4 linked regions of the Neodiprion lecontei genome follow. The protein of the gene in region 1 purifies or fractionates together with the protein of each later gene. This does not show direct contact. Links are inferred from orthologs where the notes say so. Each region holds a gene or a part of one and is shown in the gene's direction. Other genes may lie near its edges. The genes, in order: protein AAR2 homolog, co-chaperone protein daf-41, protein ecdysoneless and tetratricopeptide repeat protein 27.

Region 1 (6,501 bases):
TATTAGTAATAATAATATTATTAAAAATAATCAACAATCTATAACACACATAGTCACAGAGTAAAATGTGATTTAATTATAAATACCTATCTAAGTAACGTAGCTGAGAAAGGAGAAAAATTAGGAAAAACATAAGATTAATAAATATAGGACTGAAGGACATCACTTATATTGTAATTGTAGTGCCTAAACAGAAGATTTTGCGCGGTACGGCAAAGTAAAATTAAATGAATTACATATATATATACATATATATTTTGCGTTCGCCCGGCAGTACTTGGTTACAAATTTTCGTAAGATGAGGCCGCTTTCTATGTATAAACGCGGTATAAATGCTCAGAAACCAGAAATTGTGCAGCCAGTATGAATAATCTGGTGCCCCTCCAAAACAGCTTCGGAGCTGCCTAACGGAGGCTATTATTTTTATATTTCAATTATTACAATGGATAGAAAATGTAAGTTAGCTAGCATGGGCTGACAATGACCAGGATTCTGATCGACGGTTATTATATACGATTGTTTGTATTATATTAAATTTAACATGTAGAAGGAACGTATTATCATCGTATTATGATTTCAATAACCGTGATATATCATTGTAATATCGATACACACGTGTAAATAGTTGATACATGAATATAGGTCAATGAATAAATGAATAAATAGATATGTATAGATACACATATATATATCTATACACAACCGTATACATATATCATAAAATATTTAAATAGTTTTAATGTAAATGAATTAGGTAATATGTAAGGAAATTACGGTAACGTGACAAGATTAATAAATTGAAATTACGTAAATATAAGATGTACCAATTTTATTTTTGAAAGCGATAACTTTTGAATTTCTCCCTCACGTAATAATGCTTTTTTTAGGTATTTAGGTAAGTTGAAATAAAATATAGTCCTAGTTATTTTTACAGCACATCGAGATTTATTTTTATGAAAAAAATAAATAAAATGAATATGAGACTGAATGTTTAGGTACAAAATGTACAGAATTAGATTCAAACAAGACTTGAGAGACTAGATAAATCAAATAGACTTGTAATATCTTTTTCTACTTTCTTAAAAATTCCTGTTCAATCTGTTTCTATTGTACTGACGATTCGGTTCATCTTATCATTGAACAGGAGTTTTGAATAAAGTAGAGAAGGATATCACAAGTGTGTTCGATTTATCTAGTCTCTTTAGTCTTGTTTGAACATCATGCTGTTCATTTTATACCTAAACATTCAGTTTTATATTTATTTTTATTTATTTATCTTCTTTTTTCCATCAAAATAGTTCGAAAATGCATAAAAATAAATCTCGATGTGCTTCAAAAAAACAAGCGCTATATTTTAATTCAACATACCTAAATACCTAAAAAAAATTTAAAAGTTACATTTCGCAGGCCTGTGTTATCATTGGCAATTTAATTCCATCTTGTGTCATTCAATTAATCTTTTTCATATCATTTCAAATTTCTTACACTTGTAATTGAAACATATATAAGCGCATATTCTGAGACTCTAATAATTATATAAAACTAGGACAAATTAATGTAATTTAATAATTACCAAGACTGTAGCTTTAGAAAATTAGTAATCAATAGATATGTGTATCAGGAATTCTCGGATCATAATCAGATCGCCGGTTATGCTTAATTTGAAAAAAAGCCTTGGAAGTAATTGAAGTAATAATATTGCGTGAAATAATTATTGGTAAAATCAATAACTATTGCCGCTGCAAAGAACGTTCGCATTAAATTCTATTTTGCCGGCAGGCTGTAAAACACATTACAGGTGACGCTTGGATCGGTACGATAAATGGAAACATGAAACATGGAGTCAGAAATCTCTAAAATCCATAGACATACAAAATCAGCTGTAGATGCGCGTCCGCCAATCAAAGGCCGCAACTCCGACTGTCGGCTTGTGAATTATGTGCGTGACGGTTCACCGTGTTTGTCAAAAAGTCTTAATTTTGTGCATTACAAATAATTATAAAATGGCGACATGAGAACGACGCAAATTTGTCGATGCCTCTATTCATTTCAGAGCGTAAAATCGTACTTGACATACGTACGTCGCAGCATAAATGTAAAATCGGTGAGTAAATAGGTTATAAACTATACTTCAATCTTAACATTTGTACACGCTTATTTCATTTTTATTATGTTTTGTAGAGGATGTAAAGATTCGATGTCCAAAGTGTAACTTTGAAGGATTATTTGAAAAATGAGCAACAAGGAAAGTGTCGAAATGGATCAGGAATTGGCTAAACGCCTCTTGGTTGAAGGGGCGACTTTGGTTCTGCTCAATGTTCCTCTGGGGACGGATTTTGGAGTTGATATGAAGTCTTGGAACACCGGTGAAAAGTTCAAGGGCGTTAAAATGATTCCTCCAGGGTTTCACTATATTCATTACAGGTGAATGAAACTGTGAACAAGAATTAGCAAGGCTTTATGATAGAATCATCGATGATTGAAACAAACTCTATTCATTCCACTTGATATGTTGCAGTGCTGTCAATGAGTTTGGAGATCTTGCACCCCGTTCAGGCTTCATTCACAACTTCAAGAAGTCTGAATTCTTGGCCATGTCTTGGGACGCGGAGAAAGAGGATGTCAGCACAAAACGTACGGACTTCTTAATTCTTCCCGTATACAATTTACATCAGCATCCACATATTGACACCTTTTTCTCTTGCAGCTCCTTCGGAAGAAACGGTACGTAGCTTAAAACAGAATCTAACTAGCCTTGATCAGTTTCTTGGCCCCTATCCGTATGACATTTGGGAACAGTGGAAGGGATTGACCAACACAATTGACGATGCGGTTGTAGAAAGATGTACACCAGTTTGTGGGTATGGAAAGCTTTCGGCATTAATAACTCCTCTACATATACTAATACTGCTCATTTTTCAGGTACATCCGATCAGCTCTGGAGTTGGAGAATTGTGACGATGCTTCTAGACCACGAGGAGGAGAGGCTGTGGAGAAGCGAACTCGACGCAGCGGTTTGTCCGCCGAGGACAGAGAGCAGCAGCTGCTTCCCCAATTGAAACCAAGAGCTGGGACTGAACTGAGGCTAACTAAGCTACCGGATAAAAGCTATCCTGATGGAGCAACACCTGCCGAAATAACGCAACATTCTCTTGATTCGAGCTACGCCCTGGAAAAAATGTTGGCTGAATTGAAAAAGTCTGTGGAGTATCTGGTTTTCATTTGGAATAAGGAGCGAAAGTTGTATACGGCTATTAATTGAAAATCATGAAATTACAGCCCGATAGAAATAATGGGAGAACTTCAGCTGGCGTTCATCTGCTTCCTGGTAGGACAAAGCTTGGATGCGTTTGAGCACTGGAAGAAGTTGGTCGGTCTTTTGTGCGGGGCCGACACGGCGATACCGTTGCGGCGTTCCATTTACTCGGAGTTTCTAAACACATTGGAGGCTCAAGTGGCCTGCGTCCCGGAAGAAGTGCTGTGCGACATTGTGGCTAGCAATAATTTCGTATATCACAACTTGCGTAATTTGTTTGCCAATATTGAATCTAACGACAAAGTCGACGGACGTCTGAAAACCCAGGCGGTCCGAGTGCGCGATAGACTCACGAAAAAGTTTCTCTGGGACTTTACTTGTCTGCAAGACGAAGAAGACGATGAAGCACCTGTCGTTGTGTCACTGGACTGAAAGGGGACAAAGAGTTACGAAGATACTTTTGACTGATTGAATATTAACAATAAGAGGTGGATTGAATTCATTTGTATCGTGTATAAATAAGAAAACCGTTCATCTCGGCAACTAGAATACATTGAGATACTCACACTGTCATGAAAGATGAGAAACTTGAATATCCGATAGAGTTCGACTCTATAGGATAACGTGAAATTACGAAATGTTTTGAAAAATTGCACAAATCTAAAATCTACATGTAATTATTACATTGGAACTACGAAATTGTGCTTTTTGTTATCCATCGCACCGTGATTTCTCTCTGTACGTAAGAAGGTCTCGTTTTTCATTTTCAGAAGAATTGCTGTAATAATTGTATCTCCTAATGTAAACGTACGTTGAAATTCCTAGCTTCTCTCATGAGTTCAAAGTGAGACACGCGTTATATCGCTATCACTCGTTTATCAAATAATTACGAAAAAAAATCATAACGAGCGCGTCGATAAACATTTCCAATAATGAGTTACGGGCTGTATCTAACATGGTTCTCGTCCATCCAGTTTTCTAGTGTATTTCTTCATTTTCAAGACCACACATTATACTCGTGTGCGATGTCTGCGGTTTGGAAATCGCGAGGGCTGATCTTGAAACGCAAGTAATTTGTTGTAGCTGATATCATGGCTCAATTTGTTGGATTCGTTAATCATTCAGCGAGATTATCGGCAGGTTCGGAAGGCCCTGGAACCTCGGAGCTTCCTTTACAATCTCGCGTTCATTTCCGGGTAGGTACGTAATCGTCGTCCTCGATTACTGTGACCGTCGACTTAACGATTTCCAGCTTTACGAAATTCTGCGAAAACTATAAATCGTTGCCAATAATGCAGAGAATTAGAATTACGGTCAGCTTCTCGCGATGAAACCCCATACTGCCGAGATAGAGGAAAACACTGAACAGTGAATAATTGCGATTAATGTACACAAGATATATTTATACGCAAGAATTTTTTAGTTGCTGCAAATGCAATTGTTTACAATAACATAAATTGAATGACAAAATGTTGTAACCTCTGATTCGCTTTATCGATCTGTAAACTCCGATAAATCGGTCAGTGACTGCAGAGTCAAAGTCTAGTCTAGTGTGCCGTCAGTAATATATAATTTGCATAATCAATTTCATGCGGATTCGCGCTTATACGCATAGAGGATAGACTATTTGCACTTGTCTACTTTCGTGTAGGTTGGCATGACTCGCTACAGCTACGTATAAATTCTGGGAAAACGATCCTTAAATTACAATACAGTGTAACTGTAGGAGAATAACAACAAGGGTTAATATACTGAGGTTAATCCAGCTCAATTTCCATATATTTGCAGTTTCACTTATGTAAGACTCGACTGCCGCAACAACAAAAAAAAAAAGGGGGGGATTGGGAAAATTAAATTTTGAAATAATTGCATATAAGCACGTCAACACAGTGTGAGTATAATATTTCTTTGCAGTGAATTTTCAGAGAATGTAATCTACATTTTATTAACACTGCATCACATAATTGCAGATCTGACAACAATCGATGGTCAATCAGAATATTACCTTTGGAGTGATCACGAGATGTGAACAATGCGGAGAAATATTGTGGGCATTGGTAAGTGTGACCTAATTTCTAATTAGATACAGTATTAATAGCCGTATTAAGCGTTAAGTTATGACACATTATTCGAGCTATTCTACTTATTTTCAATCTTCATTACAATCTAAGAAAGGTGACGATTTCTTCTCCAGAAATTCGCAGAACTGTTTAATGGTGTAATTCTCTCGGTTGGGTAATAATTCGCTGGTTCTGTTTTCAATACATTTGTTAAAACTTTCTTCGTCAAGATAAGACTTGGGTAATTTGTTTGAACACATTTTAATAAGCTCGTAGGGTGCATCTTTATACTCGGGGAAGTGGTGCCCTGTCTCAATGTTCTTGCCCTTCAACCAGTCTATTATCATGTCTTGGCACATCCACGTGAGACGATTGAACTGGAAGTAGAGCTCCTTCACTTTGAAATTGGTTAACGAAGCAATTGGAAGACACGTTATCTTGTTCGAGGAAATGTCCACCACTTGCAACGGGGACGTGGAGAAGAAACTGTCTTCTATGTGCTTAATTTGATTGTTTTGGAACGAAACAACCCGCAATTTCGAAAGTCCCTCAAACCAGGCGCCCTTTATGACCTGCAATTTGCCTCCGGTGACGGCCAAAAATTCCAGCTCTGTCAGTCCCTGAAAAGCGTTGTTCTCGATTTCTTCGGTACCACAGTAGAAAAATCCCAATCGTGCCAAATTCTTACTCAAACGGTCGAAAGATCTGTCCAGCACAATTTTTATGTTAGAATTACCAAACGTCACTCTGTCCACGTCGATTGGTGCCCTTTCCACATCGGCCAAATAATTATTCGTCCTGAAGCACTGGTACCAGTACACATTCGGCTTCGCATTTCGAAGCAAACACGAACTCCTGGACAAACGGGCAAACCCTACCGTGCCGAAGATGAATGCTAACAAACCGTGGAGCTTCATACTGATCCTTGAACGAACGCAGACTGAATTATCCCGAATGGTCAGCGAAATCTTATACCGCGGATGTCGCGCTCTCCGACTCCAGCGCGTAATTCAACCAATAGAGAAGAAGAGACGATAATATGGAAGACCGCGTGCTCGAAGATTATCCTCGTGCAACTTCCCCAGAGTGTCTATTACTGGAACAACCTTCTGCGAACTAGTTGGCCTGGTTAAAGAGGCAAGTATAACTGATAGTTTGTCAAATTGGGTGGGGGTTGAAGATTAT
Region 2 (5,881 bases), on another chromosome or scaffold:
CTCACCGCATATTTGTCCTTGTAGAAGAGCGAACTTGTAGACATGGTGTTAATTTTAATTAAACAAACAAGCACTGATCTGGGCTACCTCAAACAAACAGCAAGTCAATACTCAGATTTGATACGGTCGTCATGATTGCTTTATTTAACATACATGCAATACGATACTGACTACATAGTTTAACACACTGCAGTCCACTGGCCACTGACGGATTGTACACATTGAACCGAACCGAGTTTTATATTTATAAAGAAAAAGCAAAACGAAAAAGTACTTCGCTGATCGGAGATAATGATGAGCGCACAGTGTCTGTCCATGCCATGGATGTACGTATGTGGCAAGGCATCAAAGCAGACGCTCGCCGTGTCGCAACTATAATTATTTAACTAATTTATTATGTATCTCAAGTATATAGTAGTGGACACTCGGCGGTCTATTCGTCACCTGGATTCAACTCGAAGGAGAAAGAGACTGGAAAACCTACTGTGTATGTCCAGTTAGATCGTCGCTACCAGAAGGGTACAGCCCCTCCATATCCATTGCAAGTGACCTACAATCTAAGTGCTGTTCCTCCCTACCACCTTCTCATCTCTTACCGATCTTAAGGAAGATTGGAGAGTTTGGTCAATACGGATTCCTCGATACGAACGGGTGGATTCGGCTTCTACGATCGTTTCGACACAAAACGTTGATAAAAAACTATCATCCAAATGATAATTATCACTCAAACGGAAACGCTGTAAGAGGGATAGATTTTTCGAAATATATGCGTTTCGCGAATATTTATACTTATCGCGGAAGCGCAAATTTCAGAATTTCATATATTTGTGTCCTCGATTTTTGATATTAATTTATTTATGTTGCAGCTATACTCCACGCGCGTAAATCTTCTACTCACTACCTGTGCAATAGATCGAGAAAGTTGATCACTTTTTTTTTCTCTCTCTCTTTCTCCTTCTTTTCATTTTATTTTAGTCGTACGTTCAACTTTGCTGCTTAAAAATTGTTATTGTAAAAACTTTGACGGAAGAATAGAGCATGGCGTATGGCAAGCGTTACTAAAGAATCGGTAGATTAATTGTTTTTAGAATTGTTGGGATTGTGTGATATTACACTTTTGACTAAAAGTTAGTTGAAAAGATGCAAACATTATTGTGCTGTGAATTTGAAATTTTACCGCATCGATGCAAATATGTATGGCACGCAATTGCTTTCGTTTACTCTTAGGTAAACCGAGATCGCCGAGAGATCATACTCGTATATTGATGCAGGTAGTCATCTATTATTGAAACTGACAATATGTATCATTACAAACGCTGGGTAATTCGAAAATGATTCAGTTATATTATAATTGATGTCTTTCTGACTCAGTCACGATGAAACGATTCATCCGATTTTCTTTACATAACGATTCTGTGAGTATATGACGATGAGAACTATTTAGCATAATCTATTAAATAATATCCAATGTGGTAACCTGTGCTTACCTATAAACCGCAATAGCAGTCAACATCCATCTTTATCGAAATGCCGGTTTTCGCATCAAGATACTATTACGACCACGTTCAATATGCGTTGCATCATTTTTCCACTTTGAATTCCCCGGGCTGAGCGTATCCTTCGATTATCTCGAAATCGATTTCGATTCGGATGAAAATCGATCTTCTCTCGTATCGAGACATCGAACCACGAATACATTGATGATCGTACGGCGATAAAAATATATTTTTAACCTGTCCACTTTTTGCTCGCCGCTAACAATTGCGAAGCGAGGGATACTTTTAGAGTTATTCCATCAACGGGATTCTTTGTTCTGCGGTGTGACAGGCATTATTATACGTTTTAAGTTTCGAGATTTGCCCAATAATAATGGCCGACGCTCTATTGTCCTGTCGATATGAATACACCTCGAAGATTGAATATCGAAAACATTTCTCGAGTTAGTTGTGCGGCGCGGTACGTAAGTCTTGCACGTTTGTTTCTTTTCGCTGGAAAAAGCAGCTACAAAATGACTCAAGAGGGACAGTAAGTAGCTAATAATTGACTTAAGCCTAGTTCAAAATGTAGAGTTGGATTTTGTGTCGAAACCTGGCTCACCGTCCGGTACATTATTCGTGCTAAATTGATTGTAAAAATACGCCTGCCGCCCTGCAGGCTTTCGAAACGCCGCCATGTTGTGAAATGGTTTTATTGATTCTCGAAATTTCTAGAAAACTAGTTCTAACCGACAATATTTACCTCGGGAGGGCTCCCTTATTAAATTATCGAATAAACTATTATCTATTCCTGTAATCGACGTCATGCCAACCGAATAAAACACCCTCTCGACCTCTCGAGACGCTTCGAATTCCCAAGCGGCTTGATGCGGCTCATGCTCGTAATCGTGTAACACGAGAGTACGAAAATGTTTTCTCTACTGATAAATCTGGCTTCTTATCAGCAGCCCCTCGTTATTCGATTGCTCGCTCTCAGTGTCTACCCTGGATAATTTACGGCGCCATAAAAAAAAATACTGCCCTTTGTCGATACATCAATCGCCATTCGCACTTCCGGCGTATTATGACTTGCCATTATTTTCCTTCCCCATGACCACGTTTTGAATACCACGAGTTCAATAAACCAGTCACATTTTTTCGTAATTCGAATATCTAGCTCATTCATATCGCGGCTCGAAACGTCATGTTCATAACCAAGAATTTTTTTTTACGTTTTACTTGATATTTACGAATTCTTGCTGTCCTTGTTTATTCTCAGGGTGACACCTCCGCCGGTGATGTGGGCGCAAAGAAGTAACGTAGTGTACGTTACTATATGTCTGGAGGACTGTAAAGATCCCACAATCAAAGTTGAGCCCGATAAAATATATTTCTATGGTATTGGCGGCACTGAACGTAAGGCGCACGAGGTAACAATCAATTTGTACAAAGAAATCGACCCAGAAAAGACAATCCAAACTCCAAAGGGCAGGAATTTCGAATTGGTCCTTACAAAAAAGACTCTTGGACCATACTGGCCGCACCTGACGAAAGACAAACAAAAGTATCACTGGCTGAAAAGTGACTTCAACAAATGGCAAGATGAAGACGATAGCGAAGATGAAGCATCCTTCGGCGGTGGTGGTGGCGGAAACCGTGACTTGGAAGAGGTAACATTGATTGATCTGCTTAATTAATTCATTTTCATGAAAAGAGTCGTAATGTTTAGTCTTTTCACATGAAAATTGATAAACTGTACACGAGGGTGGTTTGTGGAAAACAATTGTGTATTTTTCCATCCTTCAAATATGTCGTTTCAACTGTATTTTAAAAATTTCACAACCCACTAGATTCCATAAATCTCTTTCTAAATTATCCCATGATACAACAAAATAAAATAGAATGTTTTTCAAATTTATAAGTGTGCATTAACTGAGCATAGAGTATAAGTTTGTCGATTCTCTTTGTGAATGATATTGATGGCGGAGTATAATCTTTGGCATTGTGATGACCAGTCAGGCGTCAAACAACAAATTTCATCCAAGAAAGCAGCTTTAAACTAAGATTCTCTCAGAAGTAAATAGTACTTTATGTGGCATGCCCGTAAAGTTGGTGTTTTTACGGCAAGGATAATGAACGAGTAAATTTCATTACAAGGTAAAAGCTAGCCAAAAGCGAGTAATGAAATCATTATACGAGCCAAAAGTACTTTACGGGTGCACCCCGCACAATGTTTTTTGCTGGCAAAACATGATAAGTCCCTTTGCCGTCTGTTGAAATCTACACCTCGGATCGTGCAACAGAAGTCGGAACTGCTGTATAAAGTCTATATGCCAGTTCTGAGATGCACACTTAGAACTGGGGATCGAAACTGCCGTATAAAGTCTTTGTATTCTATTCTGAGGTTAGCGGTACAAAGTGACACTTTACAGATCGAAAACAGGCGTCAAAAAGTGACTTTTTCATGCCTGTGTTAAAAAAACGAGTATATATGTGATATTCTTTATCTACAATTGTCGGTAGCTATTTAAATAGAAGAAACTTTGATTTATAGCTTCATATTCTTAAAATAATCGGTATCTCGTTTAAACAATTTAATTAAATGTATTTTGAGATTTCACGTGAACTTAACGCTATTGTATGTAACAAAGAAATGTTTCAAGCTTCAGGATTTTTAACTCAATAAGAGTTCAATATATCTTTTTTGTTTCATTTACATACGCTTAATGTTGAGCATACTGCATTGCCGAATGACAAAAAGCATAATATAATCCGTCGAACTTACCATAAAAAATAATGTAATAGTATATTGCGATACGAGTGCGTGAAGTTGGCGATACCTGACGAGCGTGAAGTTTGTTGCTCGAGCCGAAGGCGAGTGCAGCAATGAAACCCGTATTTATGACACATGATAATTTTTGCAACACCTGTAATGGGAAGTTCGACTTGAGACAATCGTAAACGTGGTCTAATGTTAATGTAGATGTGTTACTGCAACACAGCCGACGAAACTGTAGTCACGAGTCGATTGCGTCAAATGGCACTAGTTGTACTAGTTTAGCTCAGAAAACTGTTAGAAAAATACGAGTTCCTAACAGTTGTGTGATATTTCCCAACAGTTTCTGAACTGTGAGGAATGGGGTACTTCGCACATCCGCCACAGTGCACAAAGTCAAACTTCCCATGCAGGTGTTACAAAAACATCTTTTCATTCGCGTTTGGATACAGTTATAGTATTTCGTTATTAAATCTTATTGGCAAAGTACCCACTGTAAAGTTACACCTTAAAACTTATTTCATATTTTTTACCTTTAAAAGGCCTACCCGGCTCTTTTAGGAGTCAGCAGATAACTCGGAACCTCCACCTGATGTGTTGACTATTTATATACATAAATCATACCTCTAAATAATATTGAATTTCAAGGACAAAATGCCAGCCCTCTAAAAGTTAAAAATTATTTTTGCCAGAGTTGAAGTTTTGCAAAGTTTCTCATTGAGCGCTCTAATACAGAAAGTTCATATTTTTTTTTGCTTCTTCATTTTACAGATGATGCGCCAAATGGGAGGTTTGGGTGGTTCTGGAGACCGCAAGCCAAGTTTTGACGATTTAGATGACATGGGAGATGACGCCGATGGTCCAGACAGTGATGACGATGATATGCCAGATTTGGAATGAAATTGTTTGAAAAAAATCAACTTACCCTCTCGGAAAGAATTGTGAGCTAAAACAGGTGTTCTTTACAGGCGGAAACTTTCGCATGGCCGTCTTGTTTAGGAAAAAAAAAAAAATTCCATTGCGAATGCTTTTTGCAATTTTAGAATCAATGGCCAACAACGTAATACCTAACTTTTAGCTAAGCGCGGTGCGCGAAAGACCGAAAACTTGAAAAGAAGAAAAAATATATAATAACATCTTATAAAAAAAAAATAATGTTGCTGGTAAACGACGAGCAGCCGTACAGTTTTCGACCTCCCCCACCACTACCCATCCCTTAGTCTTTAGCTCGTAAACTAAGTTATAATGCAAAAGCTTTTTTTTTAACAATGAATGAATTAAATGTGTAAAATATTAAGAAGGATATAAAGAAAACCAATAAATGGAAAAAAAAACAGTCTGTTTATTTGATAAAAACTGTCGAGGCTAGATCTCCACATGTGTGAAATGCCTGCTCACACTACGTTAAGAAAAAGAAAACTGGTACATGAACGATTTATTTGATTATTCACATAAGTGAATAACAAGGAAGTTGTTTTCTTGTATATGTAAAAAATAGTTTACACCAAAGCAGGTTATGAAGTACTTACGTAACCATTTCATCGATATTAAAAACTTCCAACAACATTGCGTACAATAGAAGATAAATTGCTGTACCAACGACCACTGCCTAAAATTCAATGTATAAAAT
Region 3 (7,778 bases), on another chromosome or scaffold:
ATACGTGCAAACTTTTTCAGCTATATACCAGAGAAATAAATTTCAATCATTTTCTAAAAATTCTTATTTCTTTTGGAAAATTATTCCAGTATACAGAAACACGAGAACACCAATATTCTTTAGATTTGTAATGCGAAATAAGGAGTTTAGGCAAAATAAGAAATATGAGTTTGATCTAGAAATTGGGTCAGATATTCACCTCCAGTTCGACTTAATTAAAAATAATCAAAAGCTTTCTTGAAGCTTGTAAAATCCTTCAAACATCATCAAAATAATTTAAACTATGTCAACATTTGAAAGCAATAATTCTATGTCTGTTAATTTACCCTCAGAATTGGATAACTCATCAAATTTTTCATCGTCGTCACTAAAATTTTCCTCATCCAAATATTTTACTTCCTCAGGGTCATCTTCCACCTCTTGGTGATTAATCTGTGATACAGTTTTCTGCTTCAGAGATTGGGGCAATCTGCTTTGATCGGACTTGTGCAATGTAATGTGAAACTCCTCATCCAAGGGACCCTGTAATGTGCTGAATTTTTCGAATACCCAAAAAAATTTATATAAGACACAACGCAGTTTCATTCTTCATTTGATAGTGTCGCATTGTGTCTCATTGAAAATACAGATAGGTTGCTTGTAAATACAATTTCTATACTTTGATACATACTTACATATGGTATTGCAAACTCTCTGAGTCTCACACAAGACTGGGACGTCCTGTCGAACGCATTTTCTGGAAAATGAATTGAGCATATCATAGGACTCGCGCCTCTGGGCTCTGGAATACACAGGCTATCGAGCCACTTTTGTCGTTTCGTTGGATCTTTTGGTAACCTAAGAAAATACACAGACGTAAAGAAATTATCTGCAAAAATATCGATACCTGTATCATTAATAATATCATTGGTATCGTTGTTGTTTTTTTTTCCCGCTAACATATACTCAAAAAACAACCAAATGATATTAAAATCAAGGTTCAGGTAAAATAATCCCATACGTAACGTAACATAAAGTAAAAGCGATATAAGTTTGACTAACCTATGAAAAGTTACTTTGTATTTCTTCTCTAACAATTTTTGTCTTTTTGATTTACGAGCCTCTGCCGATACATTCGTACAATTTAACGCAATACACGACGGCATTATTTCGTTTCTTCCTAAATAAGTTTAATACAAATTATTAGCTTTATCATTATACACTTGCTCGTTAACAACGTTTCAATGACGCGCGTTGCCCGTTACAATCTGAACCAAAAAACACTCATCCTAAGATGGTCGTAATCATGTAGCCTAGATATAAAGAGAACGATCGACATAGGCTGTTTGGCTTTATTTGCGGTCTGAAAGGAGGGAAAATATTACAGTTTTTACCATGTCCACCAGAATGGCGCTGGTGACATTAAGGCCAGGTCGATATCTGTATCATGCGATTACGGTATTCCCCTTATTCATAAATTTTCGGCCGTGTCTCATACATTACGATCGTTCTCCTTATATCTAGGCTCTGTAGCCGAAGTAAAAATTTTCCCTCGTGTCTCTCCTGTCTCTCTAAAACCCATTGAAATACAATAATACTGGAACTTGCACCACGCGTTAAAGACGTGTGTCGTCGCCAGCATCCTTGGTGAATATCAAAGGCGGGTGTAATTGCAATATGGTCTCGAGATTGGTAATCAGTTGATCGTTTTAGGTTTATTTATCATATTTTACTTCTGGTATAGAAAACATCATTCAATCTGACTGTAGTCCAATACCTACTCATCTCTGCCAATACAATGCAAGTAGTGCAGTAAATCATCACTAGATGGCGTTGCATTCGTAGTTTGTATTTAGTCTCTATAGGGACTCTACTTTGTACTGCTTTTGAATAGTAATACGTTTAGCAAACTGTATTTTCGTGCATCATGGTGCATCAGATCAGCGTCGATGGAGGAATGATTCAAAAGCTCTAGTCTGCAACTTGGTATTTGAAAAGTTAGGTTATGTCAGGGCTGATTCACTCCGTTGTTCATTTTGCAATATGCATAGATCGCAGTTAGATCAAAGTATGTATGTAATTGTGAAAAGTTGAATGACATTAACTGAGGAGAAATCAAAGAATAAGTATAATCTGATTACTGAAACGATCAATCATGTCAATCCCGCTGCAGTATACTAGAGAGGATGATCTTGTCGAGTGTTTTCTTTTTCCACACTTGTGTTACAAATCGACGGAGGAAATATCTCAAGATGAATTAGTATCTGAAATAAACAAATACAATAATCGAATTTCAAAGTATACTCATGAATACATATGGCATAGAGACTCGTTAGGCTTTCAAGCCAGAACAAAGAATATTATCCAGCTCAACAAAGAACTTGATGGTGGAGCTCGAGTGGAAGGTAAAGTAAGATAATGTTTTGTAGGTATGAAAATGTGTGTCACCAATTTCATTGCATGAATTATACAGGGTGTCCCTAAATTGCCTCCCACGGACTAGCCAGCATAATACCTCGTTAAAATCCAACCGAGAATTTCTTTTCCGGAAGATCGTCCGACGCATAGTTTTTGAATTATAAGCGATAGCGCTAGGCCAATCAGAGTGCACCATTTCATCTAGATTTGCCGCCACGGAAATTGCTGTTTTGTTCGTCTGGGTGAATTATTATTATTTGTTTACGAATTAAATATCGGCACCTCCCCTCTTTCGCTGCTGTACCCCTTATGCTTGAGGATGCGCTTCTGTTTACACACACAAGTGTGCGCCCATGGATGTGCGGCCGGCAGCGTATGCCGCGGCAACAATACCGAGGTCAGCGCTCGAGAAGGGGTACAACAGGGAGAGAGGGGAGGTGCCGATATTTAATTCGTAAACGAATAATAATAATTCACCCAGTCGAACAAAACAGCAATATCCGTGGCGGCAAATCTAGATGAAATGGTGCACTCTGATTGGCCTAGCGCTATCGCTTATAATTCAAAAACTACGCGTCGGACGAGCTTCCGGAAAAAAAATTCTCGGTTGGATTTTAACGAGGTATCATGCTATCTAGTCCGTGGGAGGCAATTTAGGGACACCCTGTATACCCTTCAATTTATAGCACTATTAGTTCCAGTTCCTCTTTTGTAGATTATCAGCTACCACCACACATATATGCTAGTCTGCGATTTGACGAGGATGTTGGTGACGAGTGGTTTCTTGTGTTTCTGGTAATGGAACTGACGAAGGCATTCGATGGCTTAATCGTAAAATTGGTTGACTCTGATGGAGAATTTTTGCTAATTGAAGCTGCAGAGTCTTTGCCAAGTTGGGCGACACCACAAACTTGTCAGGATCGTGTTTTCATATATAATGGCGAAATACATGTTGTTAGAGATGAAAACCTGTCTTATATAGAAATGCTGCGAAACATCAGAGAGAAACCTACAGCTTCCAGAATGCAGTATGGTATACAAGCTGCTATTCAAAAGAAAATTGCCATATACCCAGAGGAAATACAAAACAGAATCCACAAAGCTCGGGTCTTTTTACCAGAAAGAGCTATCGCCATACTAAAACAGGAACCTGGTTTGATCGCAGCTGCACTGAGGACTGTTTGTCAATCGGATCCACTTGAGAGAAAAGTAAGTGTACCAATTTTCACTGAAATATCAGGGGCCAATTTGTAGATTTGTCTTTAATTTTTTTGAGTTTCAGAACAGATTATCTTGAATCCGATTTTTATCTGTATAATTTATTCTCCATTTCCATTTATTTCCATTTCAATTACTCTGCGATTTTTTTTTCAATCGTTGCCATGTTGTCCACTAGTGAAAAAAACTGGGAAGTCGAGAAAAATCTAAAAAATTCTAAAAATAACCTGGGAAATTAGAGAAAAGTCAGGGAGATTTATTATTAATTTTATTTATATTCATTAATTTCGTTTATTCATACATTTTTATGTTTTTGAACTTACATCCAACATTTATTTATTTAACTTTGCAATACCTCAGTATTCCTACAAATATATTTATATACCCGTATCTTTATTTTTGACTTGTATAATCTGTGTATTTCATCTTTTAATCCCACTTTTCAAATAAAATACTAAATTCATAGGCTTCTAGTAGTAACTCCCCTTTTAGCATTTCTTCTATTTTCCTCTTGGCACCCTCTGCCATATGTTTTCCATCCATGTTTCCCATCTGTCCCCCAATTTCTTGTCCATACTCTTATACTCTTACATGTATACTGCAGGAAATTTTATTATCATTCGAGGAATTTTACGGCAGTGTACTAAAATAAAAAAGAATAGAGCTTTTTTGATGAAGAAAAGAAATTCGGGAAACAATTTTTTTTTACGTGCTCGGTTCCATGACTTATATAGATCATAAATGTGTTTTTGAAAACCGATTGATTTGGAACTCTATATATTAGGTAGCCGAATTGGCGCTATTAGTCTGAATTTTAGTTATAAACAAATTACATTTTGGTCAAGAAAAGTTAGGGAGAAGACTGGGAATTTTTTTTTACTATTTTTAGTGCCCACCATGGTTAAACAGCCATATTTTATAATGTGGACTTGATTCTGTAAGCATTTCTAGAAAATAAATTCCTCTAAATCTTGTTATTTAAATTTTTGTAACGTAGTGAAGTCTATATACAAGCAACTGAAGAAGTTTAAAGATGGATTTTTATACAAAGTTCACTTTCAAGGCTTATAACACTTGAACTATTCGAGCTGCGGATTTCTAAACAACCTAATAACAGATATCTGGTTATTTCTTCCAGGTTTGCCAAGCGATGAAGTACTTTCCACCAGAACAACGTGCCATGGTCAATGTGAAAATGACTAGATGCCTATACGCGATGGCAACTCACTGTCGTTACGCTGGGGATCCAAGAACTGGTTGGAATTTACCTTCACCCAATGATTCTTGTCATAAGCCGCATTTGTTGGGGATAAAGATATCGTGTGGATTGGAAATGCTTGTTGCACGAGCCAGTCGCAAAATCAAACAGAATGAAGACAATGAAAATAAAAATGAAACCGAATGGGTTGCATATCTGAAACGGTTGACAGCAAACGGATATTTCCGAAATCTTTTAGAGGGTAGTCAAGAATACAATCGACTGCTTAGAATGGCCAAGGAGTATTTTCAATCCAGTTCCAGGGATCATTCTTTATTTGGTGACAAGAACGAGGCTCATCGAATATTGGAGACCTGGCGTAATGCTCCGCACCATGATATCGAGTCATTGAGTAAGACGTCTACGATCTTAGAAATTAACTCTGATTTCTAAACACATCTTGTGTACTTCTTTTAAGCGTACCATTTGTATATATATTTAAAGAAAAATTCAAGTTTATTGTTTCAAAATCAACACTACTTCAAAATATGAAATTGTTATCATCAAAAGCATATTTTAAGTGGAAGACGTGCTGTGTGCACATGCTGTATTTAGTTTTTGTAATAGGTGAAGGGCGATTGAGCCCTCCAGACAATGATAACTGGCTCAACATAGATCCAGAACAACTGCACTCAATGCTGGACCAGCAGTGGTCATCAAATGATCGAATGGTAGATCAGCACCCGCCATCAATCCAAGAGAAAGTTCGGGAATTTTTGCAACATTCAAGCGACGTAGATGGAGTTCAGTTCCCGGGGTACGTTGTTCATAATTTTGGAATGAAAAGACTGTTTTGAGAGTAAATTAGCCAGACCGTCAAATTAAAGAATTATGAAAAGAGAAAGAATCGTTCAAGAAATCTCCATGAATATATTATTTGCATGAATAATAAATAAAGAACACGAGTGGAACAGCAATTCTATTATCTATTATATAATAAGTTATCAATAATTGGAGTAAAAGCTTTCATAACTAGAAAGATTGAAATGATTGAACTTTCTTGTTCTTTATCCGATTCTAATGCTAATGGGCTCATTTTGTTCACCATAGAGACTTCCATAGATCACCTAAAAATTTCTACTTACCATTATCTGCAGAGTGGATAAAAATATATTACTGACTACTGTCATTAAAGTATAACAGACCTTCATCAGCAATTACATTTGTGCATTATAGCTATAGGTTGATTACAAATTTCTTGCATGTTTCTCATACAATTTGTGATAATTTAGTTAGTGAACTAAGCCGAAAAACATTAGAATCTGATCAAAAACATCAGAGTTTAAGCTCTTGGAACGTTTCTAAGTGTAAAACTTTTTAAATTCTTGACATCTTAGCTTTAACTATTTGAATTTGCTCGGAATCTTTTGTATTATACAGTGGGGATGTTGTTTCATTCGTGATTACTATCATTGATTTGAGCAACATCTCTGGAAATTTTGCAAAACAGTTTTATTCTCTATCCCAACTTTTGATTCTGACGGTCTAACCAATTCATCTTTAATTTGACTTCGATCTGGTCTGAGTTGCATAGCCAATAGTGATGATTTATGATTCAGCCAACTGTCCAAGTCAAATGACGATAACAGCGAAATCAGAGCAAATGGTGATGCCGATGATACGAGGATAGACTTCAATGCAGATGCATTTGATTCCGCTTTACGTGGAATCTTGGATCTTGTTGTGCCAGGAGATGAAAATGATTTCGACAGCAACTCGGAAGGTTCGTTGGGTGGAAGCGAGGAGGATAAAGGTGGTGAATTGGACAAGTACATGAGACTGCTCGACTCTCAACTAGAAATGGATTTGCACCTTAGCGGATTACGAGAAAAATCTAATACAGACACTTGCGTTGAAGATTCGACTATGGAGCTAAATTTAAAAGAAAGCGCAGAAGGTGAAGCAGGAGGTGCAGGAGCTGTTGGAAATATTCTTGGCGGACCCATTCGACGTCTCTTGCATTTACACCTGCAATCACCCTCGACTGTTCCACCTGACTTACAAAGTTAAATTTTTCACAATTATCATTAATTTTAAGTACGACGTCAGTAGTCAGCTTATCTCCAATATATTTGGACGAAAAGCAATCGTATTAGCCAATGTATTGTGAATTGGCAACTATTGACTTGCACTATTTTTATTTTTTTATTCTCGTTTTATATCTTTTGTATTATCAACACTAGCAGTAAAGTTCTGTTATAACTTTCCAAATATTTCGTCTATTAAACGCAATTGTAAATTAATATTATCGTAAACATTTGAGAGCGAGAATTCCTTCTTCGTCTAATAAACGGCAATCGCCTATACTTACTTACTGAATTCGTTGTTTTGGCGATACGCCAATTGCATAGCTCATAAGGATGCGCCTGCTTTCGCGACAAGATCCAACGTAAGTTGGATTATTAAGCTTGGACTACAAACACTCACGTCTATTCGTATGCGTATGTACAAATAAATACTTGTATACAACACCTTGCGATATGTCGGACAACATACGATAGGAATGGGCGACATACATTCATGATGTTTCGACTACCGATGTTTTTTAAAGTCTATGGAAAATATTGAACTATCGATATCGTCAAGCCGAAAGTAATTTAAATTTCTGTGCAAACATCTGTCAGCAACTTATCTATAATAAGTAAATACACATTACTAATTGTAAGGTCGATAATAAATCTGTATTTTCTACGAAATTTCTCGCTGTTAATTAGAGTATTTAAATATTTAACTTTCCATAATTTACTTTATATTAAATTCTCATATTTTGTACACATTCTTAATTAACAATAATGATAATTAAAAATTTTCGCGATCATTTTTCTTTTTACAATTATAGTTAGAAATGTTTTAACTTTCGCGCCTGTTTTCGCCATCGATATTAACAATCTATTTTTCGATATTT
Region 4 (5,932 bases), on another chromosome or scaffold:
GAGCCACTTATCGATACCACAGGTTGAATCCAGAAAGAAGAGCAGAAAGGACAACTGTACGACTCTTAGAAAGCCTTGTTAGGTAACTAATCTAAGCTTTTTGTTAGAATTTTAACTGTTAATAATTACAACACACACATAGGTTTTGCCATTACATCCTGAAATATTGACAAATAATAGAGATCTACTATGCATAATGATGGTCACTAAGCCAGCCCTCCGTCACCTTGCACAAGCTACTCACTTATGGAGACATATCGGAAAGGCTATAGCGGGAATAATTATCATTATAATAATAATTATTATTATCATTATCATCATCATCATCATCACCGTAATGATTGGACTATCAAGTAATTCTAATGTACAATAGGTTAGCCGAGGGTCATGCTCGTCTGATGTACCGTACGCAAGTAGAATTAATGGATGCTTTGGTAGCTGCGCAATTGGTGGGAACCGGTCCTATGAATTCTACTTATAGCTCAACTGTTACTGGTCATCGTTTTCCTGCAGATCCAATGGCCGATTATCGCAAAGAAGGTAACGAGATAGACAAAGTTCACTAGGTCAAGGAATTAACTTCGTATTTTGGTTAACGGTGTACAACCTTGTTCAGATTTTGTTCACGTAGACACCGTACACTTACCTGTTATACGCTGTGCTACAGGTGATTTGTATTTTTAGGGATTGATATCCTCGACAAGCTCAACTTGGGACATCTGAGTGTTCAACTGTGATGAATATTTTCAACGGTTAATTAGATGAACATGCATTTGATAAATAATAAAAGAACTGTTAATTAATAATGTTAATTACAGTACAAATGCGAGTTAAAGAAATCCACAAAGCTGTATTCCTAATTCTTGTTGTGTTTTTTTTTTTTTACATTAAAAGTACTAGAGGAATATATTTTTGCTATAATTTAGTAATGTCATATTTCTAACTTTATTTTATGTTAGTTTTAGATCATTTATTTGTAATAATGTAATTATCCTCGAGATCCTGTTTTGATCTACTATTTCATGCTAGAATGATTGATAATTAATTCACATATTTATCATTATCAAGAATCTGTAGTTTCTACTATCGTCGTGCACATGTAATATGTCTTTTCTTTCGGGCCTGCGAAACAACGTATGTATCTCGAACGCCATCAATAATAACTTTAAATAAATGCCTGACAACTTCCGAGTGCCGCCTGTGTACGTTTGATCCCGTGATGTGCTTGAAATTTTTGAGTTCTTTGATTCTTTTTTCAACCGGAAACTCAGCAGTTGTAACTGGACCTAATTATTGCTTCATGAAGCGATACAAAGCGTACCAAACACTTCATGCGTTATTAAATTTGAAATCAATATCCAGGAACTTCACTAATATAACTTTCCTCGTCAGCTGTATACTTATGCCTAGCTATTTTCTGCGCAACAATAAAATATTATCATCAATGAATACAGATAAGAACTTGCAAATAGTTTGAATAAAACAATTCCGGGATACTTCAAGGTTGAGTAGAAATAATTACTATCGTATCGAGTGTTGTGATTTCGAAACCATAAGCGACAGCGTGGAGCAAATCGGAAATGGTTTACCTTCCAGCAGATGTGGGTAATGGGTAAGCTCGCGAAGTAATTAATTCCTTCTATGATTCTGCTGTATTATTAAATGTAATTTCCATGATATTAGCGATATTTTAGAATCATACGTACTTGTCGTACCATTGCAAAGGTTATACAGGTATGACACTCGAGATGTTCAACTACAGGTGTTTTTTGATTTCCCGTATGTTTGTAAATGTTAACTAAAATCATTATACCATTGGCTGATTCTATGAAACAAGCCGAACTAACTAATAATCTCTAATAATTTGTCAACCAAATGATCGTCAATCCTTTCGAGAATTCACCACGCCATTTGTGCGTGGACTTGCGACTCCGCGACCTTGGAAACATGGTTAGATTTTCCGTATAGCGTACTACACTCTATTGCGTATCGTATAATTCGTGGCTAACGACAACACTACCGTATCGATTTGTTGCCACTTGTCCGGTAATATTTGTTGCACGGGTATTTAGTAGCAGAAAAACATATGCGTACTCCTTGATGACTTGTGACAAGCGTGTTTTCTAAATTCGAACGTAAATATGGAGAAAATGCATACTGAAGACCTGAAAAATTCTGAGGTAAAACTCATCACGAATTTTTTGGATGACTCAGGTAAGGTTAACTTCTGTTCTGCGTATGTAAATTTGTGCGCAAGAAAATATCACATGTTCCCGAAAAAGCAAACACAAATTTCTTACACTCAAATTGAATATATTTCAGCCCCGCAGGCATTACCCAGTATTGAGGAATTCCACATGGGACATTATGAACAAATCTTGAATAATAAATTCTGTTCATCTTATCTCAAGAAGTTTGTCAATAACAATAATCTCGTAAAAACCCTACATGACGCTGTGAACGATGATCCTAACTGCACGTTTCAGTTATTATCTGTTGGGATAGCTTCGCTGTTGTTTTTTGTCCAAACTAACTTCACTGGCCCAGAAAATACGCCGGACATTGATTGGTTATTGGGCAAACGTGAGGAGGCATTGGAGTTTTTGCACCTTGAAGATGAATGCAATGAAAATGTGAAGAAGCCTGAGCTGTTGTATCTATCGAAAATATTGCTTTCTAATGAAACATTACAAAATCATCACAGAACTGCTGCTTGGTGGTTATTCAGAGCCAATTTACTGCATCAAATTGTTCTCGAAGAAGCTTCTGCAACTTTATTCAAAGAAACTGAGGATTTAGTAGAAAAAATTTCTGCTGATGATATTTTGAGTGATGAGTACCTCAGGACGTTGTTCCATGTCGAGGCTGTGCAGTTTTATTTGTATCATAGAAGGATACAGAACATGGAAAAACACGTGGAAATTGCTCAGCATTCGGCAAAACTAAACATGCAGTTAGTCGGCATGCTCGGTAAACGCACCAAGTACCAACAAGATGAGAAAGCTCAGTTAATGTTGAAAGTTTCCATGGACAAAGACAATTTCCCGTACAGAAAGTGTCAAGATTTGCCCACTGCTCTTGAACTAAAAGATGACTTGCGATTGGAACGAGTAGAATATTCTGAACCTGCAGAAATTATTGAACTGGGTGCCTTGGAAGAAGCAGTTGTTTTAGCAAAATAGTATGTATGGTAAATATTTAAATTTCACCTCATTACCAGAAGTTGGTTATAGAATTGTTGTGGGAAAATGCGTCGACATCTATGCAAATATTTAACTCCATAAGTTTAATTCCATTAATTAATCGTACACTACTATTCGTTGAATTGAAAATTTTCGTACATACATCAGTAATAAATTATACCAGGAAATTAATATCATTTAATTTTCATTTTTTGCAGTTTTCAGATTCAAAAATCCCAACCGAAAGACAAACTTGCTGACGAAGAGGTTGTACCATACCTAATTGTGAGAATTGATGTTTATGAATTGATTTAGGAATCCAGTCTTGATTGCAATTTATTTTACAGATAATTTAATTATGTGACATTTGTATCAGAATGTTATAGAGAATTCGAGTAACTGGCCATTAAGAATGTCATCTTTGTGTCAGCGTTGTATATTGGAATCGAATCACAAAAGAACCGTTGAAAGATCTATGTCACAGACAGAGTATCTGATTGAGCAATTGAATTCTTCAAAGCCATTAGTCTCCCATCGTATGGATATATTTTTCGCCAGTGGTATGAAACCTGTCTGGGAAGTTAGACAAACCTTGGCTGATCTGATGCTTAATCTAGGCATGGTCAAGAGCGCTCTTGAGCTGTACTTGCATCTCCGACTCTGGGAAAGCGTAATTGTGTGCTACACTATATTAGAATTGAGACACAAGGTGCGCAAATTTCTGTAAAATCAATTTTTTTAATCTCCAACTGATTGAGATCAAGCACCACGCGACATTTGCTCAGAACTATCAACATCTACTCATGACTACCTATGGTATTGTGATATCATTTCATCTAACTCTTTCAGGCTGCAGAAATAATTCAACAAGAAATCGATAAGAAGCCAACAGTAAAACTTTGGTGTCTCTTAGGTGATTCAACGCAGGATACAAAATGTTATGAAACTGCATGGAAATTATCTGGTGAAAAGAGCAGCCGTGCCCAAAGGCACTGGGGCCTGCATTATTATTCAAAACAAAATGTAAGTTTACTGAGATAGCGCTAATCAAATTTTTATCTCATGTATCAAAGATCGTATCTAATGCAATTGATTTTAATCAATCTTGAAGACAAATTCAAACATTCAGTGTAACAATGAATTTACAATTCTTACAGTACACAGAGGCAGTACCGCATTTGAAATTGTCTGTGGAATTGAATAATATTCAAGAGAATATATGGATTAGGCTTGGATTTGCTGCATTGCAAATTGAAGATTGGAAATTGGCAGCTAATGCATACCGTCATTATTGTGCTCTAGAGCAAATGGTCAGTACATCTATCGGCAAAATGAATGCAATATTGGTGAAACTTGTTTATTCAATCCTTCTTTTTACTTACTAGAATTTCGAGGCGTGGAACAACTTGGCGAAAGCGTATATCAAGCTCGGAGACAAACCCCGAGCTTGGCGATCCCTTCAAGATGCGGTCAAATGCAACTTCGATAGGTGGGAAGTGTGGGACAATCTAATGGTAGTTAGTATTGACTTGGGTCATTTCTCGGAGGTAAGAAGAATCGAGGCTTTTCGGGCGAGAACAGTAATGATAAAAAAAATTCAGTCAAATCGTACGAAAAATTTGATTCTCCTTTTGTAGGTGATTCGGTGTTACCACCGTATTCTCGAGCTGAAAGCTCATCACACTGACGTACAAATTTTGAAAATTCTTACCAAGGCAATTATCACGGATATAACAGATGCCGATGGTAATCCTGCTAGTAGACTACTCCAGAAAGCCTTGGAACTATTTGGACATTTGACTGCGGCAGTGCCGAATAATGCTTCGATTTGGCAGATGTACGCCGAGCTGACGGCAACAAAGAATACGGAAATGGATTATCAGAAAGCGGCTCAATACTTGCAGAGAGCGCATCGTACCGCTGTTGCCAATCCGAAATGGTTCAAGGAGGTAGAAGCGACGAAAGACGTGCTTAATTTATGCGCCGATTTGGCAGAGTCATACTTGAAGTGTGCAGAATCTGGATCACCGCTACAAAGAAGAGCGATGCTGGGTAGCGCGAAATTGTCCCTACAAGGCGTCGTGAGGAAAGTTAAGGATCAGGATTGGATTGGCCAAAAGGACATCGACGAATCATTGGCAAATATCGAAGCATACTTGACCAAAATCTTGGATGAGTTGAGAAAAATAAATGTTGATTCCAATTACGTTTCGCAGAATATAGTTCTTTAGAAAATAATCTACTTTTATTTCCGGTGTCTATTCATTTACTTGACTGTTATCAAATACTGAAACTTGAATTAAGCTTAATCGCTTACTGGACAACGTGCAGGATACACTTTACGAAAATGATTCCATGATACTCTCACATAAGCCACTTGTGATAATTGAAATTCCTCTACACTACCAAGTAGCTGCCGTGTCAGGTATACTTTGACACCAGAAATTCAAAGCTGCTGACTAGAACTAAATGGGATGTCGGACAAAATCAGTTTGATATAATTTTACAGTATTTTATTAATGACGTTTACTTCTTACTATTTTGTGAGATTGTAAAAAAAATTCTATTGAGGAAATAAGAAAGGCTCAAATTTGCCTTTTTTTAGTCTTAATGTATATATATATATATTTAAGAATTGGTGAGAATCCAGTCGGCGTATTTTGCAACGCTTACATACGCAGACGGTGAATTTGAATTAATTTCGCAATCCGATCCGTACGACAGGATGCCAACCTGAAACGACGATAACG

Evidence for each region.
Region 2: the proteins of protein AAR2 homolog (region 1) and co-chaperone protein daf-41 purify together in Homo sapiens (affinity purification with mass spectrometry; 3 studies listed by BioGRID and IntAct, with this or other methods). This does not show direct contact. The link is inferred for Neodiprion lecontei from reciprocal best matches to the Homo sapiens genes AAR2 and PTGES3.
Region 3: the proteins of protein AAR2 homolog (region 1) and protein ecdysoneless purify together in Homo sapiens (affinity purification with mass spectrometry; 3 studies listed by BioGRID and IntAct, counting the BioPlex papers as one, with this or other methods). This does not show direct contact. The link is inferred for Neodiprion lecontei from reciprocal best matches to the Homo sapiens genes AAR2 and ECD.
Region 4: the proteins of protein AAR2 homolog (region 1) and tetratricopeptide repeat protein 27 purify together in Homo sapiens (affinity purification with mass spectrometry; 3 studies listed by BioGRID and IntAct, with this or other methods). This does not show direct contact. The link is inferred for Neodiprion lecontei from reciprocal best matches to the Homo sapiens genes AAR2 and TTC27.

What each region holds. Positions count from the first base shown.
Region 1 is NC_060260.1:3,707,302-3,713,802, reverse strand, and holds protein AAR2 homolog, read left to right. Parts: upstream 1-1,892; 5' UTR 1,893-2,104; intron 2,105-2,181; 5' UTR 2,182-2,233; coding exon 2,234-2,424; intron 2,425-2,518; coding exon 2,519-2,634; intron 2,635-2,707; coding exon 2,708-2,861; intron 2,862-2,922; coding exon 2,923-3,198; intron 3,199-3,279; coding exon 3,280-3,688; 3' UTR 3,689-5,405; downstream 5,406-6,501. Other genes in the region: matrix-remodeling-associated protein 5, read right to left, coding at 5,406-6,233. UniProt on the Homo sapiens protein: Component of the U5 snRNP complex that is required for spliceosome assembly and for pre-mRNA splicing.
Region 2 is NC_060263.1:36,975,613-36,981,493, forward strand, and holds co-chaperone protein daf-41, read left to right. Parts: upstream 1-1,816; 5' UTR 1,817-1,897; coding exon 1,898-2,025; intron 2,026-2,754; coding exon 2,755-3,145; intron 3,146-5,022; coding exon 5,023-5,151; 3' UTR 5,152-5,365; downstream 5,366-5,881. UniProt on the Homo sapiens protein: Cytosolic prostaglandin synthase that catalyzes the oxidoreduction of prostaglandin endoperoxide H2 (PGH2) to prostaglandin E2 (PGE2).
Region 3 is NC_060261.1:11,728,900-11,736,677, forward strand, and holds protein ecdysoneless, read left to right. Parts: upstream 1-1,748; 5' UTR 1,749-2,134; coding exon 2,135-2,384; intron 2,385-3,112; coding exon 3,113-3,606; intron 3,607-4,753; coding exon 4,754-5,225; intron 5,226-5,440; coding exon 5,441-5,630; intron 5,631-6,432; coding exon 6,433-6,883; 3' UTR 6,884-7,683; downstream 7,684-7,778. Other genes in the region: uncharacterized protein LOC107217828, read right to left, coding at 327-522, 675-837, 1,042-1,145. UniProt on the Homo sapiens protein: Regulator of p53/TP53 stability and function. Inhibits MDM2-mediated degradation of p53/TP53 possibly by cooperating in part with TXNIP. May be involved transcriptional regulation. In vitro has intrinsic transactivation activity enhanced by EP300.
Region 4 is NC_060265.1:20,125,589-20,131,520, reverse strand, and holds tetratricopeptide repeat protein 27, read left to right. Parts: upstream 1-1,989; 5' UTR 1,990-2,141; coding exon 2,142-2,214; intron 2,215-2,322; coding exon 2,323-3,181; intron 3,182-3,400; coding exon 3,401-3,467; intron 3,468-3,558; coding exon 3,559-3,891; intron 3,892-4,031; coding exon 4,032-4,205; intron 4,206-4,339; coding exon 4,340-4,492; intron 4,493-4,567; coding exon 4,568-4,729; intron 4,730-4,819; coding exon 4,820-5,413; 3' UTR 5,414-5,420; downstream 5,421-5,932. Other genes in the region: DNA helicase MCM9-like, read left to right, coding at 1-82, 374-540, 685-737; uncharacterized protein LOC107223251, read right to left, coding at 5,811-5,915.